2 linked regions of the Neurospora crassa OR74A genome follow. The protein of the gene in region 1 interacts with the protein of each later gene in a biochemical or structural test. Links are inferred from orthologs where the notes say so. Each region holds a gene or a part of one and is shown in the gene's direction. Other genes may lie near its edges.

Region 1 (4,210 bases):
TGTCAATGTGAACCCATGCTTGGACAAGAACGTGCTGCGCGCTCTAACGTCAACGTCACCCTCCTGCACCGTTGACATGACGCTTCGTGACCTTCTCGTAACCGCAAGTAATATCACATACAACACTACCACCAAACAATCACAAGCTTTCTGCACAGCAGCAACACATTAGTCAATTAAAGCGCCCCTGCTACTACACCCCAAGGTATATACAACTTAAGCCTCAAACCTCTTGGCAACAGTCTTCCAGTTAATCACGTTCCAGATCGCCTCAAAGTACTCTGCCTTCCTGTTCTCATACTGCAAGTAGTACGCATGCTCCCACGCGTCAATGCCCAACAGGGGCACATAGTTACCAGTAACAGGGTCCTGGTTGGCACGGGTAATCAGCGCGAGCTTGCCGTTCGCAGCCTTATCCTTGGCCAACCACGCCCAACCCGAGCCCTGGATGCCGGCCAGCGCAGCATTCATCTGCTTGACGAAGCTCTCGAAAGAACCAAACTCGGTCGTGATGGCCTTGCCGAGAGCACCATCGGGTGAACCGCCACCCTCGCGCGAGGCGGGGGCCAGGTTCTCCCAGAACAAGGTGTGGTTGAGGTGGCCGCCGCCGTGGAAGTTGAGGAGAGGGGCGACCGAGGCGGCCTTGGTGAAGTCACCCTTGGACTCGGCCTCGGCAATGGTGGTCAGGGCCGAATTGAGGCCGTTGACGTAGGTCTGATGGTGCTTGGAGTGGTGGAGCTCCATGATCTTGGAGGAGATGTAGGGCTCAAGAGCGCCGTAGTCGTCTAGGGAAAGGAGAGTGAGTTAGCTTGGGGGGTTTTTCCTCAAAGCCGAAGCGGAGGGAGGATAGACTGAAATGAGGAGCGGGCATTGCAAAGCGAGCGAATGTTGGAGGAAAGAACTTACACTGAAGGTCGGGAAGAGTGGCCTTGCCGCGGACAAAGGTAGCGGCGGGCTTAACGGCGCTGGCGGCGCGCAGAGCGCTGCGGGCGACCGGAGTAGCGCGGAAGAGGGATGCGGACATTGTGACGGCTTGTTTATCGAGAGAAAGACTAGTAATTAGGTGAAGTGGTTAGGTCTTGAAGTGCGAGAAGAGGAAAATTAGATGATCAATGGGACGGCGGCTACCTCAGAGTAAGTGAATTGGCCGACTGATTGCGACTATCGGAAATGTCTCTTTCCATTTACTTATCTAATAAGCTCGGATGATGATGGAAGCTCCATGGAAACCGTTCCAACTAATTCCGTCATAGCCCCACCCCGCCGAGGGGAAGAGGTGGGTACCTCTATGGCTCGTGTGGCTGAAAGTGGAACAAGGAGCCGTCTCTGAGTGGTGAGTAAGCCACAGTGTTAATTGCGGTCTCTTGGCATGGCGGCGCTCTTCCTCTGTCGCGTCTCCCACTTCCAGAGCGCGTCTCCCCAGAACCTTGATTGATCTCGAAATCCTGGCGAAAACTTGGTTTGGGTCAGTTGTCCAACTCAACACTGTCCAACTCATCTCCAAACGCCAGGCTGGTCCAATTGAAGCTACCAAAATCACCACCATGTCATATTACGATATCGATGCGATCCTGACTGACGCAGAGGTACCCTCCATCTCCCTCCCCCACCATATCATCACCCAACGCCAAAACACCAACTAACCCGACGATCCTCCCCAGAAAATTCCTTGTACCTTTCAAATCGACGTCCCCGACCTTGGCTATCTCGACAACCAACCGGGGCACACCCTTAAGTCCGGCTCGCGCGTCGCTCTCCCCATCTGGCTGGCTGAAATGCTCGCCATCGCTAATACGGGCGCCGTCGACATGGACGACCCATCACAGTCCAGCAAATCCTTCATCACCTTCGACCTGCCCCCGGCACTGGGTAACGACGTTGTCCAAGCTTTGAAAGCCGACCCGCGCTCCGTGCCGCTGCGCGATCAGAGCGCCCACTTCTACGCCCTCGCCACGCACATGATGGAGTTGTCAGAGGAGCCGGAGCTGAGCGCAGTGTTAAGGAAAACGTTTGTCTCGAGGGCGGCGGAGATTGCGTTGCATGCTAGGAAGGTGGGTGGGGGCGGAAGTTCGTATCATGGTCGAGATGGCGGAGGAGCCGGAGGAAAGGGCAAGGGGAAGGCGACGAAGGACGATAATGCCAGCAATTTGGGCGTGGGAGGCGCTGGTGAGGACTTTTTGAGAGGGTTGGATGAGTGGGAGAGGAAGCTGTTTAGGAGTGCACATGATGGGACGAAGGCGAGCAAGGAGTGGATGGAGAATGTCAAGAAGAGGTGAGTGGAGTGGTACTGTTGGAGCGTTGTTGCTACCGCTGGCGCCCGATCGGTCTTTACCTCGCAACGAACCAGCGCTTCGGTTCAAGCATCCTCCATGATTCTCGGACTGCGCTCGATGCAGTATATAACAACAGGCCACCGGCGACCTCCCAAGTTCATTTACCATGACGAAGCTGTGGATCAGTCATTATCACGGCTCGAGAGCATCGGGATACCACGAAGGAGACAGGATTCTTGGGGGTTTAGTTGTGTCACCCTCCCCTGGAAGTATGGCGGACTTGGACTGCTATCGCCGGATGAGTATCCTACGCATCGCTGATCTTCACAGAGTTGTGCTGTCAGCGGCACAGCAGACCATCTGGCCTAATAATGAGGAAGACTCATGAGATATTAAGAGGACATGAGGTTCGGCACTCTCTGTTAACTCGGACTTCGTCAATTGGTGGGTGACTAGCGAGCGACATCGGATCCTTCATTTGGGTATACCACTATTTCGTCCATCACGGTCTATGGAATATTTAACAAGATAGCCGAAGCTCAAATTGGCTTGGCCGACGACTAGCCACCACCCTCACCCGCGGGACACTCTGGAGCGATCAACATGCCTCTCCTCCTTCTTAGACTCAGTTGCAGCAGACATGGCCCTTCTCACACGCCTCTTCTCCCGATTTTTCCTCCTCTCCTCACGGCTCAGCCTATTCTCCCCGTCCTTTTTGGCACGGCGGTTGAGACTCATAAGCATACCAACCTCGCCGTCAACCTCGTCAACATCTTCAGGCTCGACAGACACAGGCACAGGTTCAGAACGGCCAAAGATCTTGCTCAAAAGACTACCCAGTCCGAGCCCCTGTCCCTTTTCTGTTGCTGCATCCGGGTGGGAAGAGCCGGTGGGCACAGTGCCGTTGGATGCGGCAGCGGGAAGGACAGTACTATTCGAGCTGCGGCCAGCGAGAGGACCAGGGATGGTGGGCGTGTTGTGGTGATTGAAGATCTTGTGAAGGAGATCGCCAAGTCCAAGGGATCCGTGGTCTCCTTTGGTTGCCGCGTCTGGATGGGAGGCACCGCCAAGGATAGTGCCGTTGGAAACACCAGCAGGGGTTACGGTGCTATTTGAGGCCCGGATATTGAGAGTAATGGCGGTGGACGTATCATGGCGGCCGAAGAGGTTATGCAACAGACCACCTAGGCCAAGCCCCCCTTCCTTTTTGTCCGTCGAGTCAGGATGGGAGGAGCCAACAGTGCCATTGGAAGCCGGAGCGGAAGCAGGAGCGGTGAAGTTCGAGCTGCGGGCTTTGAGAACCGCGCTACCGGATGGCGCATCTTCTGTGATGAGGGAGGGGGTCGTCAGTGCTTAGAGCTTCCGGTATCTTGAGCTTGGTACTCGAGACTTACTCAGCGATCGCAAGGTGTAAAGGAGATCTTCAACATGAAAGGCAGAGACTATGTTGCAGGCAAGGAGAATGGTAATAGTGAAGTTGGCGAAGAAGCGGAGAGAGAGCGGATGACGCATGGCTCCTGATTGGGCTTGTACTCGCAGAAACAGGTGAGTCTAGCAAGCGAGGGCCGATGCGGAGATGGGTGTATGCTACGCCTAGAAAGAAAATAACAGCGGTCGGAAACCAGCCCGAGAGAGAACGAATGAAAGAATAAGAGAAGTTGAGAAAGACGACAATGACAAGTACAACATCAATGACGATTATAAGTTATTGCAGCAGTATATATGCCTTTCTTCCCCTTGATCGGTCTCTCCAACCCCATCAACAAGTCTAACAGGCGCGGCCCCGGCATCACGAACGGTCATAGGATCCTCTAGCTCCAGTCCCAGCCTTACCCTTTTGCCCCGTTTTCGACTCGCTCGAATGCCTCGCTGCCGTGCTCACCATTGACACGCGTTGACGTGGACAATTTTGCCGCCGGGCGTCCCAAATTTGGGTT
Region 2 (11,215 bases), on another chromosome or scaffold:
TCGCCCCAGTTGTACGAGGCAATGTCATCGATAAGGCCAGAAACACGACCCAGGTCGCATGGACGAGCGTTGATGGAGATGTCGTTGGGGTCGAAGGATGAGGATGATCTTCTGTGCTTGGCGTTGGGTACATCGTTACCCACGAAGTCATGGTAAAGCTCCTGAATGGAGGGGGCCATGATGCGTTGCAGAATGTGGAATGCTGCTAGAAGGGAACGATGAGGTTGATGATGGTGTCCAGAAGCTGTTGAGGAGAGAAAGACAGCGGTCTTATATCTTTTCCTGGCACACGTCTCGTCATTCTCTTGTTCCCTTTCGACTTTCCATATCACGACCTTGCCCTTCAAGCTGCAAGCTGACGATATCACGCCCCAACAGCTACTAGTGTCATGTCATGTGTGTCTGTGATGAGTCCAAAGGCTGAGCCCTTTGATGGTGTCCACAATGTCGACCATGATCATCCAGAATCCCGCCTGCTCTGATTTGCGACTTTACAGAAGCTAGTGGATGTGAACAACGCTCCATCTACATCGCGATGTCCTCGTGCCGAGCATTATCCTAGATGGGTGGACATGACAACTGAAGCCAGAGACTGACCAGCATCGCCAAGCTGAAGATGGGTTGATCCAGGAAAAGCGGGGGCGAGTGAGGTTAGAGCGCTTGCCAGGACCATACACCCATAGGCATCAACGAGTGTGACAGACGCACTGCCTTATCGACCGTACAATGGCGGAATCGGCTAGCCCCGCACAAAAGAAGAAACGAGGGTGGCCATGAGGCACGCCTTGAGGCTCATCACCTTGACGCTATTCGCGGCAGCCTCGGCACGTAGGCTCGGACACAAGCCCGTAGTGTCGTTGACTATGACGGCGATGTTGATGAAGGAAGGGAGCTTTCGAGTTTGACAGCTGAGGACCCCTTGATTCAGTGGAGTCCTGTAAAGACAATGTCTCTCATTGTTGCCAATTACATACCCTGAGCGTGCGGGTAGCTGGGGTTCACTTCGGGATGTAATGTAGCCGTTCACATTCCCTGATGGAAAACCGAACACGATGGAATCCCAGTGCTCCTTGCAGGACCCACGCAGGCTATCCCATGCCACGCTGAATATACGCTTCCCAGTTCCCACGACGGAGACGTGTGACGAAGAAGTGATGAGAACGTCCTTGGGCGAGGCGGAAGTCGATCGACATGGTCTAATTCGAAAATTTCCATGTCGTATGTTCCATCGGTTTACCGCTTCGGGATAAGGAATATGGAGCACACGCTAGCAAATGCCGAAGATCTCCAAAAGTGGAAGCGATTGGGTGTCATTGGAGTTTTAGTCTTCAGCTCTCAGGGATATATCACACATGTCCCATAAACTAGGCTAGGTTGCTGCTTCTCCATCAACAACACCCATACCAGACGGAAGACTATCCAAAGTCAGTGATTGGAGGGAGAGATGATCAGGCAGACACGCTAGCTGCCTGTGTGTGATTGCCCCAGGGATAGGAAGAACTCTCGAATGGGACTAAACTTGCCCAAGTTGAGGTGTAGTTGATATCAACCTCGGAGGACTCCCATACCCCGCGATACACCGCCGCCGACGTCATTGCCACCTCTAACGCCGATATCGATGCCGGCAGACAACACAGGCAACTCGATATCCATCAAGTGTCTTCCTCCCAACTGCGTAACAAACACCATTTGATCCAGTTCCGTGCCGTTTTGTCGCAAGTCATTTTTCATGCACGAGCACAACCTCTGCACTGATATCTTGCCGTCTCCTCTAGCGTAGGCGCTGTCCAGAATTCTGCAAAGGGTTTGGGTCATCTGCGTTGCTCCCGTGATGCCCCCATTCGAGCTGCTGTTGGGTGTATCTGTTCGGGGCAAGGGAACAGGAACGTAGGCGCCCAAGAGTTGCTTAACGGAGGGTGACGATGCCAGGCCCGGGTCGACCATCAGTTGATCTTCTGCTTCTGTGCTCGTATTCGACCTCATGGAGTGATGACAGTCAAGGATGAGCAAGACGTCACTCTCACTCGACATGATGGGCTCGCGAATGTCCTCCCAGAAGAAATGACTCGAGCCAATCGCATTCGCAAACATCATCCTTCCTCCAACCATGTCCGCTCCCCCAGCATAGTAAATGACTAGCAACTTCTTCCTCCCCTGGCCCGTATCGGAGTCCGCGAGAAACTTGGCCAGCAGGGTCTCCACAGCCGCAGTAGGATAGTCCTCGGGAATCGGTCGGCATTGGACTCGATATCCGAGCCGTTTGAAGCAGTTTCGAACGGAGTCCGTGGAGGTATTGATCCCTTGCCGACTTGAACTGAGTTTGATTGGCCCTTGTTCCTTGGCGGTTATTGTTGTGGTTGTCGTAGCCCAGCTGAGGATCAAGACGTTGACTTCTTCGGTTAGCTGTGCATGTCGACTGCGCTGAGAGGGCGAGAAGATGGAGCTGAACCTGGTTTTTGGTTCTGGTGGTTCGGTCTCGGGTTCAGGTCGAGCAGTACTGAAAGCTAGTGATGCTGGATAAGCCGAGTAAGTCTCGTATAGCTGCTGAGAGTGTGAGAGGAGTGTTGCATGATCTCTGGACCAGTCTTGTGAGTATCTTCTTTCTGTCCGTGCTTTAGCATCTGTATCAAGCCCCTTAGCAGCCGCAGACGTATAGAGGTTGACGGGGCTCTTCAGCTGTGGTTGCAATGATAAACGGGCTCGCTGTGCTTTCGGAGGCGCGACGGTCCTCGACCAGCTCGAATTTTGCGGTGACGACGCCACAGTCTCAATCTCTATATCCCCATCACCATCGGCATCACGGCGAAGATGATGGTCTCTGAACCACGGAGAATCGGGACTGAGGGCTTCGGTGGCGGTGATAGGGCTTTGACTGTTACGGATGTCCGTTAGCCGTTTTGTCTTGGGATCAGATGTCAGGTTGGCCGAACTTACACCTCAAGCTCCTGCAAAGCACCAATCACCATCTCCATGTCTCCGTCCCACTCGAGTCCAACGGGGAGCGACGTCGCTTGGATGTCATGATGATCAGCGCCCCTGGGCGTAGCTTCACTGTCTCCTCTTCCATCCATGCTCCTTGCCGGCTTCGAAGGCGAAGCGTGTACACGAGCGTTGTCAACAGCTCCAGCCGAGAAGTCATGGCGGAGGTTGGCCAAATGGCGATGCCATAGCTGAGTGAAGTCCGTATTGCTGTTCATCTTGGACTTTTGACTGACTGAATGCGGGCCCAGATACGATCTTCTCTGACACAAAGCTTTGTTTGGCCGAGTCAGCTGATAGTGTCTTTGTTTCGCTTGTCAAGCCATTCTGATGTCAAGAGACTACTGATCTAACATTGCTGTTGTTTGTGGAGTGGTAGAAGAAGCTGAGACGTCAGGAAGGGGGGTGATGGCAAAGATAGATCAGGTTCGCCGCCACGCTGCCCACCTACATGGCGTTTCAGCCCAGAGATCTGATCGGGGGGAGGGGCAGGCGGATACCAGATTGCAGAAGGTCGTCACGTCAAGCAAGGACATGTGTTCTTGGCCGCGGGTTGATGTGGGTGGTCAAGGGCTGGCATGCTCTCGGCTAAAGCCTATCAGCCCAGATGAAATTGTGGTAACACTGCAGCTTGTATGTCTCGGAGATGTTGGAGTTTGGGACCGAACATGACCGGGACCACTTCTGACTGGTTCGACCTCACTATACTCACCTTCTTGTGTTGTACCTTGTCTGACATACATACATAACTCGGATGTTATAGAGAACCACCACGGACTTGACCTGGCAGCTGGCCGGTTTTAATGGCAAGATACCATGGCAAGCTGGTTGATGGATGTCACCGAAGGCTGAGGAAATTGGACGAGGGCGATTGACAGTTCAGTTTGGCTGATGTGGGAGGGAACACTGCATTCGAGGAACCGAGGGAGCGACGACAATTGTGTGGCACTTGATAAAGAGTGCCGACAGCGGGAAGAGGGCATCAGCTCGAGAAAATTGTGCTTCGTCAATACACACAGAATTGTTCAATGGATGGAAGAAGCATCACCCATTTTGCAACGGCTTGTGAGGAAGGAGCATCTTGCTGGAGGATTTCTCAAATCAAAATGAATGAAAATAGTTGGGAGAGAATTGCAAAAGGTCTCATTCGGCACACGAAAGGCCTGGAATCACTAAAAGACATAGTAGGCAACTTCTACCAGGAGGCTGAATCCTTGGTAGGGCAAGTCGGGTCGTCGTACGAACAAGGCAGAGTCGAATGGCGATGCTTCGTTACAGCAAGTGTATTGCTTTCGGCGATACACCCCAGAGGTTGAATTTCTGTGGCCAAGTGCAGGTGGTATGCAGTTATCCAATCTATATCCCACTAGCGAAGCCATTAAAGAGGGCCCCACTTGTGCGCGCCAGCTTCCTGGTCTTGGCGCGCTTCAGCTTTTCTGGCGCGTGTTTTATCGTGTTTTCTTGACAGGGAGGACTCAGTTCCCCTCCCCTCGTCACAGTTTCCCCTCCTTCCACTCACTAACCAGTCAGTCCTTGGTCCCTTGGGTTCTCATATCTCTACTTGAATCTTGACCTCGACAACTTCCAATCTCCACCAACTCTCCTTGATACCCAGGTGGACCACAGCAACACCATAACACAATGGCAACACCAATGGCACACTCCAGCGATGCTGGCTTCATGATGTCGGACGGAATCGCTTCGCGAGGAGGAGCTACTCCCAGGGCGCGAAACGGTCATCCCAGTTCCTCTTCAGCTCGTCCACGAGGCCCCCCCTCAGAAAGCCTCGGAGCGGCCAGCGAAGACGAGGGCGAGGAAGGGTTCGCTGATGATCAGGTCCCCGTCCGCTCGAGGCCTCGGAACATTGCCGACATCCCCAGGGTTCAGGATAGGATTGGTGTCATGGTCCAGAGAGCCTTTGAGGCCTTCATTGACGGGTATGAAGATCCAAGAAACCAGCCAAACATGTACTACTTGGTGTACTTGCTGACACCGGCGCCAGCTACGTCGAAACACCCACCTCGTCCGGCCAACCAACCTCGAGCGCAGTCACGACAGACAAGTACTACGTCGCCCAGATCCACGGCATGAGGACCTACTCGTTATCCACCTTCTACGTCGACTACAAGCACGTCGCCTCATGGCAAGACGGCACCCTCGCCGAGGCCATCACCAACTCGTACTACCGCTTCCTTCCCTTCCTCACAGCCGCCCTCCATAGCCGAATCGCCGCCCACGAACCCCAATACTTTAACGAACATCGCCAGCCCACGGCATCCAGCGCCCACTCCACGACAGCCGCCAGCACACGAGGCGCCAACGCGAGCCAGTCCGACTTTGGCATCAAGAACCCCAACCAACAAACCGACAAGCTCTTTGCCATTGCCTTCTACAACCTGCCCCTCGTCTCGCGCGTGCGCTCCATGCGCGCCCGCAACGTCGGCCAGCTTCTTGCCATTAGCGGCACCGTCACACGCACCTCCGAGGTCCGGCCCGAGCTGGCTCTGGCCACCTTTGTCTGCCAGGCCTGCTACGCCGTCGTTCCCAATGTCGAGCAGACGTTCCGATACACCGAACCGACGCAGTGTCCCAACTTGACGTGCCAGAACCGCACTTCGTGGCAGCTGGACATCAGGCAGAGCACCTTTGTGGACTGGCAAAAGGTGCGCGTGCAGGAAAACAGTAGCGAGATTCCCACAGGAAGCATGCCCAGGACAATGGATGTGATTTTGCGCGGCGAACTGGTGGATCGCGCCAAGGCCGGCGAAAAGTGTATCTTTACGGGTGCGCTGATCGTGGTGCCGGATGTCAGTCAATTGGGTCTGCCGGGTGTGCGGAACGTGTCGGTGCGTGATGATCGGGGTGCGGATGCCGGTGGCAGTGGTGTTTCTGGTCTCAAGGCCCTGGGTGTGCGCGATCTTACCTACCGTTTGGCGTTCCTGGCTTGCATGGTCACGCCTGATGTGTCGGCAATCGGTGCTTCTGGCGATGCCCTTCTGATGGACATTGTTGGTACCCTCAACAGCAGCGCGGCGGCCGAAACAGCCGAGACCATCAAGGAAGCCCAGGAAGCTCTGCTGAGCTCCTACACCTCTGCCGAGATGGAAGACCTCCGTGCCATGGTGCACAGCGACCACATCTACGCACGCCTTGTCCAGTCCTTGGCACCCACAGTCTACGGTCACGAAGTCGTCAAGAAGGGTATCCTCTTGCAGCTTTTGTCTGGTGTCTCCAAAACCACCGCCGAAGGCATGGCACTCCGTGGCGACATCAACATCTGCATCGTCGGCGACCCCTCGACGTCCAAATCCCAATTTCTCAAGTACGTCGTCAACTTTGCTCCCCGGGCAGTCTACACCTCCGGCAAGGCCTCTTCCGCCGCTGGTCTTACGGCTGCCGTGGTCAAGGATGAAGAAACCGGTGAATTCACCATTGAAGCCGGTGCCCTCATGCTCGCTGACAACGGCATCTGCTGCATCGACGAGTTCGACAAGATGGACATTGCCGATCAGGTTGCCATCCACGAAGCCATGGAACAGCAGACCATTTCCATTGCCAAGGCCGGTATTCAGGCCACGCTTAATGCCAGAACCTCGATTCTAGCAGCTGCCAACCCGGTCGGAGGTCGCTACAACCGCAAGACCACCCTGCGCGCCAACATCAACATGTCGGCGCCCATCATGTCGCGTTTCGATCTGTTCTTCGTCATCCTCGACGAGTGCAACGAGCAGGTCGACCGCCACTTGGCCGAACACATTGTCGGCCTGCACCAAAACCGGGACCAAGCCATCGAGCCCGAGTTTTCCACCGAGCAACTGCAGCGGTACATTCGTTTCGCTCGCACTTTCCGCCCCGAGTTCACCGACGAAGCCAAGGAAGTCCTCGTGCAGCGCTACAAGGACCTGCGCGCCGACGACGCCCAGGGCGGCATCGGCAAGAACAGCTACCGAATCACCGTCAGACAGCTGGAGAGTATGATCCGTCTGTCTGAAGCCATTGCCAAGGCCAACTGCGTCGAGGAAATCACGCCCGATTTTGTTAATGAGGCGTTCCACCTTTTGCGGCAGTCGATCATTTCCGTCGAACACGACGACGTCGAAGTAGACGACGAGGAAGACGCTCCCGAACCACCCGCCGACTCCCCCGAGGCCTTGCAAGCCGCCGCCGCCGCTGCTTCGCGCGTGCCCGAGGCCGATATGGACGGAGATGGCGACGTCGACATGGGTGGTGAAGCTGCCCGACAGCCGTCTGCGGCACCCTCGCAAGCGCATCGCGAGAAGCAGACGATTTCGTACGACAAGTACATTTCCATTGTGAACCTGATCGTCTCCAAGGTGGCCGAAGACGAGACGCAAGGCTCAGGGGAAGGGATCGAAGGCGAGCAGCTGGTGGAGTGGTACCTGGAGCAGAAGGAGGAGGAGATGGCAACGGAAGAGGAGTATCACGAGGAGAGGAGGTTGGTGGGCAAGGTTTTGAAGAGGATGGTCAAGGTATGTTTCTGCCCCCTTTTTCTTCCTGCAGATTGAGCGACTGCTAATGAAATTGAAAAAAAACAGGACAACATCCTCATGGCGATCCGCGGACAAGGAATTGTTGGCGAAGAAGGTACCGTGGGAGAAGGTACCTCGGCAAGGGCAGAGGGCAACATTGTCTATGTGTTGCATCCTAATTGCGCGGTGGAGGAGTTCTAATGTGTTGTTTGAGTGGATGGCAAAAAAAAGGAAAGGGTACGAAAAGTGTCGCATGGGATTTGGATTGGATCTTGATTAGAGCGAGCGAGAGACCTGGCTGGCTGGCTGGCGTTTTGGAGTTGTGTTGATAGGCTGGACGGGAAAGATATCACGGTCTTGTGTGAATACAATAGAGGGTTGGTTACAATGTATTGCGTCGATGTAACGCATCAACTATCGACATGGGCTAGCATCTCGTGATGGAGTGAGTACCCCGTAAACAAACACCCCTTAACGCCCTGTCATAGTTCATAATCATGTCCTGGTCGTGAAACCTTGGTCGCTCATCCCAGTCCCATTCTATTTGCCCTTTGAAAGTCGTAAAAGCAGTATCCATCAAAATTGGGATTAATCAACGCCGTATCGTAACAGTCGTGAAACTCGTCATCGTAGTCGTAGTCAAAAAGGGACCGAAGTTAAACAAAGTTGGTATACTCGCAATTAACCTACCAAAACAATTAGCACTGCCTACTAAAATAAACCATGGTATCTATATCCCTCTCCTGAGAAAGATCACTCATCATCAATCGACATACCCTTCATCAACCTCTCCATCTCCCTTTCTCTTTTGCTCCCCGCCGTTGTCCCCGGCTCAACCACCGGCACACCCCCAATCGCCTCCAATCTCCTCCTGAGTTCCTCCGCCTCCCTCTCTTGTTCTCGTTCCCTCTCCCTGTCCCTCTCTCTCTCTTCCTCCTCCTTCTCCTCCTTGGCTTGCTTCTCCTTCTCCTGCTCCGCCAACATCTCTTCCAGTTCCTCATCAATCTCCTCCTCATCCACCAATCCACCAGCAGCAGTCGTGCCCGCCTCGGCCAGAATGGTATTAACCTCATCCACCTCGGCCATCTGCTCTCTGAGTTTGGAAGTAAGGTTCTCGACCCTATCAACACCACCGACTTGCTCGTTGAGCGACTCGAGCACCTTGCTGCTGGTTTCCATGATTTTCATCATGGCTACGCTGTCGCTGGCTTGTTGGATCTGGGACGCGACGGCTTCTAGTTGCGTTAAGCTTGCGTAGCGGCCCTCGAGACTCTGCTCGGCGAGTTTCTTTTGTTTGAGAGCCGCCAAGGCTGCGATTCGGTTATTGGACTGCACGGCTTGGCGGGCGGCTTTGTCGAGTTCGGTGATGCGGCCCGCTAGGGCGTGAGTTTGGTGCGTCAGGGAGGAGATGAGTTCCTTGATGGAAGCGACTGTTGTGTCTTCGGGCGTTATGCTTTGTTGCTCATCAGAGGGAGTCTTGATCTTAAAGGTGGAGCCGTCGTAGAGGATGAGGTCCTTGTCGCGCGAGAGAAAGACGAGTAACACGTCGAGATCGGTTTCACTGAGGAGTTTGCCCTCGCTGCCTTGCTCCAGCTTGACCTGCTCGTTGTACGTATGGAGAAAGTGCGCTTTGGACCAGGTACGTTCGAAGCGGCTGTCTGTTAGGGCGGATGCGGTGGTTGCGGCGAACTGCTTGCCGGCTTCTTGGACGTTGGCGACCACCACGTATTGTCCCTTTGGTAGCCCGTTCCCCCTCAGCCAATCTGCTACACCTAGTTGTTTCAAGGCCCAGCCGGCCACACCGCCAGCTACAGCCCACGGTGATGGTAGCCATGGCTGGTAGTATATGCTCGTTGGGGATGTGAGGAAGTCATGCAGCGGTACAAGGTCCTTGGAGGCCAGTGCTTCCCTAATCACTGTGCCCAGGGCTAACGGCCGGCCGTACTTTTTGGACTCGAGAGCGCGGAGGAGGGATTCATCGGAATTGAGGACGAGGAGGTTGGGCGTTGAACCTTTTGGGGCGGGGGCCAAGCCGGAGCGGGCGAGGTGGGCGAGGGCAGAACGCCAGGCGGAGATATTGGCCTGGTAGCCATCGGGGTTGAGAGTGCGGAGGGTGGTGAAATCGGAGTATAGGGCTGGGAGGCGGGCTCTGTGGAAAAGGAGGTTAGCTGGGAACACCCAAGATGAAGCGAGGCGGCATCAGTCGAATGGGCAAAGACGCACTTCCTGAAGCTGGGCTCGTGTTGGACTAGGTAGTCGACGAGTGATTGTTGGTTGTTCATGATGTTGGTGTCTCGGAGTTTCTGGTAGTGCTACGCGGGAATCGAAAGCGAAATTAGTGTAGGTGGGACAAAACAGATGATGGAGTCGCGAGCACGCGGTCGGTCGACAATGGTGAGCGATGGGCCGGCTGGGAACCTTTGTGGCTTCGTTGCGACAACAAGGCCAAAACAACAGGTCAAAGAAGCAGCACTTCTTGCATGCTACCAGTCAAGCAGGCTTGGATTGGCTGTCGCGCGTGTTGTCGCGAATGAATGAAGGCGCAAAGATGTGGCTGGGCGCAAAACAGCCTACCATACATAGCCTGGTGGTGGTGGTGATGACATGCACATGCAGAAAGAAAACAAATCGAGGGTGTGTCGTCACTGTGGTGATGGAGTTACAGTGGGCTTTCCTTATCTTATCAGTTAGTTATAGACGAGGACCCCTCCCGTCATGTTGATCTAGCGCCCAGCTGGGACGGGGGGACTGCGTTGATGAGCTACCCGGACATCCTCGGTTTATTTCCTTCTTTTTTTTTCGTGTGTGTGTGTTTTGTCTCAGCGCAATGGACTCTTAATGATGATTTCGGGAGGTTTGAAACTCAACAGACGCATATGGGAATCCATATACTTGTAGGAACTGATTGCAGTGATGACACCCAAACACCATCACCCAGACGACGGGAATGGGTGTAGTGGTGGGGCAGAAAGAAGGCGGTGGTGATTTCTAGACACTTTGAAGACCAGCGAGGTTCCCGAATTCTCCACTTTTCAGCAGCTCTTCCCCATTTTTCAGCAGCTCCAGTGCGTGCTTTGAATGCCAAGACCGAGCACCAACAGCCCAATGGCGGCTGTGATTCGGCGAATCGCCAAAAAGTTGACTGCATGGTTTCCTGGTCACGATCCGACCTTCTTTCGTAACGAACTTCCACTTCCTTGACCCTCACTTTATTCTCTCCATCCACACACGGGTGTTCGGTTCAGGTTACTCCCTACGCTGTACACTCTCACACACTCCTTTGTTTAATGTCGCGGTAAATAACCTGTTGGCTACCTACTCACTGGCCCGCACCATCTACCGACGAAACCCGAACCCTCCTCTCTCTCCTCTCTACCTACCTATCCATAGCTACCTACTAGATCAAGATGAACTCGTCCGTTCTTCCCAAGGCAGCCCTCCCGGCTCGCCACTTCTCTCCCGCGCAAATATGTCGTCGCCAGAGGTTTAGAGCCTGTGCCGGAAGAAAGGCTTCTGCTGCTGGCTTTACTGTAGTTGCTAGGCCTCGCACCAGCCGCTCAACCACACCCACCACTTCTCCCACGAGGCCTATCTCGAAGCCAAGGGTAGGTCCTGATGACGTCTTTGTTCACTTTGGCTCCGTGACTTCGATTCATCCACATGCTGACCAGCTCCTGCTTAATCCATAGACCTTCCACACCACCAACCGCCTGCTTGCTACACCTCGCGACCCCTACGGCGTACTG

The links.
Region 2: the proteins of NCU09561 (region 1) and NCU05194 form a complex in vitro, tested with the Saccharomyces cerevisiae proteins (2 studies listed by BioGRID). The link is inferred for Neurospora crassa OR74A from reciprocal best matches to the Saccharomyces cerevisiae genes PSF3 and MCM6.

Annotation. Positions count from the first base shown.
Region 1 is NC_026507.1:995,840-1,000,049, reverse strand, and holds NCU09561 (DNA replication complex GINS protein psf-3), read left to right. Parts: upstream 1-1,410; 5' UTR 1,411-1,544; coding exon 1,545-1,586; intron 1,587-1,661; coding exon 1,662-2,276; 3' UTR 2,277-2,846; coding exon of another isoform or gene 2,847-3,598; 3' UTR 3,599-3,667; coding exon of another isoform or gene 3,668-3,785; 3' UTR 3,786-3,984; downstream 3,985-4,210. Other genes in the region: NCU09560 (superoxide dismutase), read right to left, coding at 217-785, 907-1,052, 1,129-1,184; NCU09562 (hypothetical protein), read right to left, coding at 2,847-3,598, 3,668-3,785. UniProt on the Saccharomyces cerevisiae protein: Functions as part of the GINS complex which plays an essential role in the initiation of DNA replication by binding to DNA replication origins and facilitating the assembly of the DNA replication machinery.
Region 2 is NC_026504.1:5,793,016-5,804,230, reverse strand, and holds NCU05194 (DNA replication licensing factor mcm6), read left to right. Parts: upstream 1-4,434; 5' UTR 4,435-4,620; coding exon 4,621-4,916; intron 4,917-4,981; coding exon 4,982-7,469; intron 7,470-7,535; coding exon 7,536-7,670; 3' UTR 7,671-7,951; downstream 7,952-11,215. Other genes in the region: NCU05192 (O-methyltransferase), read right to left, coding at 1-179; NCU05193 (hypothetical protein), read right to left, coding at 1,546-2,872, 2,935-3,197; NCU05195 (hypothetical protein), read right to left, coding at 8,223-9,618, 9,693-9,751; NCU05196 (mitochondrial DnaJ chaperone), read left to right, coding at 10,877-11,074, 11,159-11,215. UniProt on the Saccharomyces cerevisiae protein: Acts as a component of the MCM2-7 complex (MCM complex) which is the putative replicative helicase essential for 'once per cell cycle' DNA replication initiation and elongation in eukaryotic cells.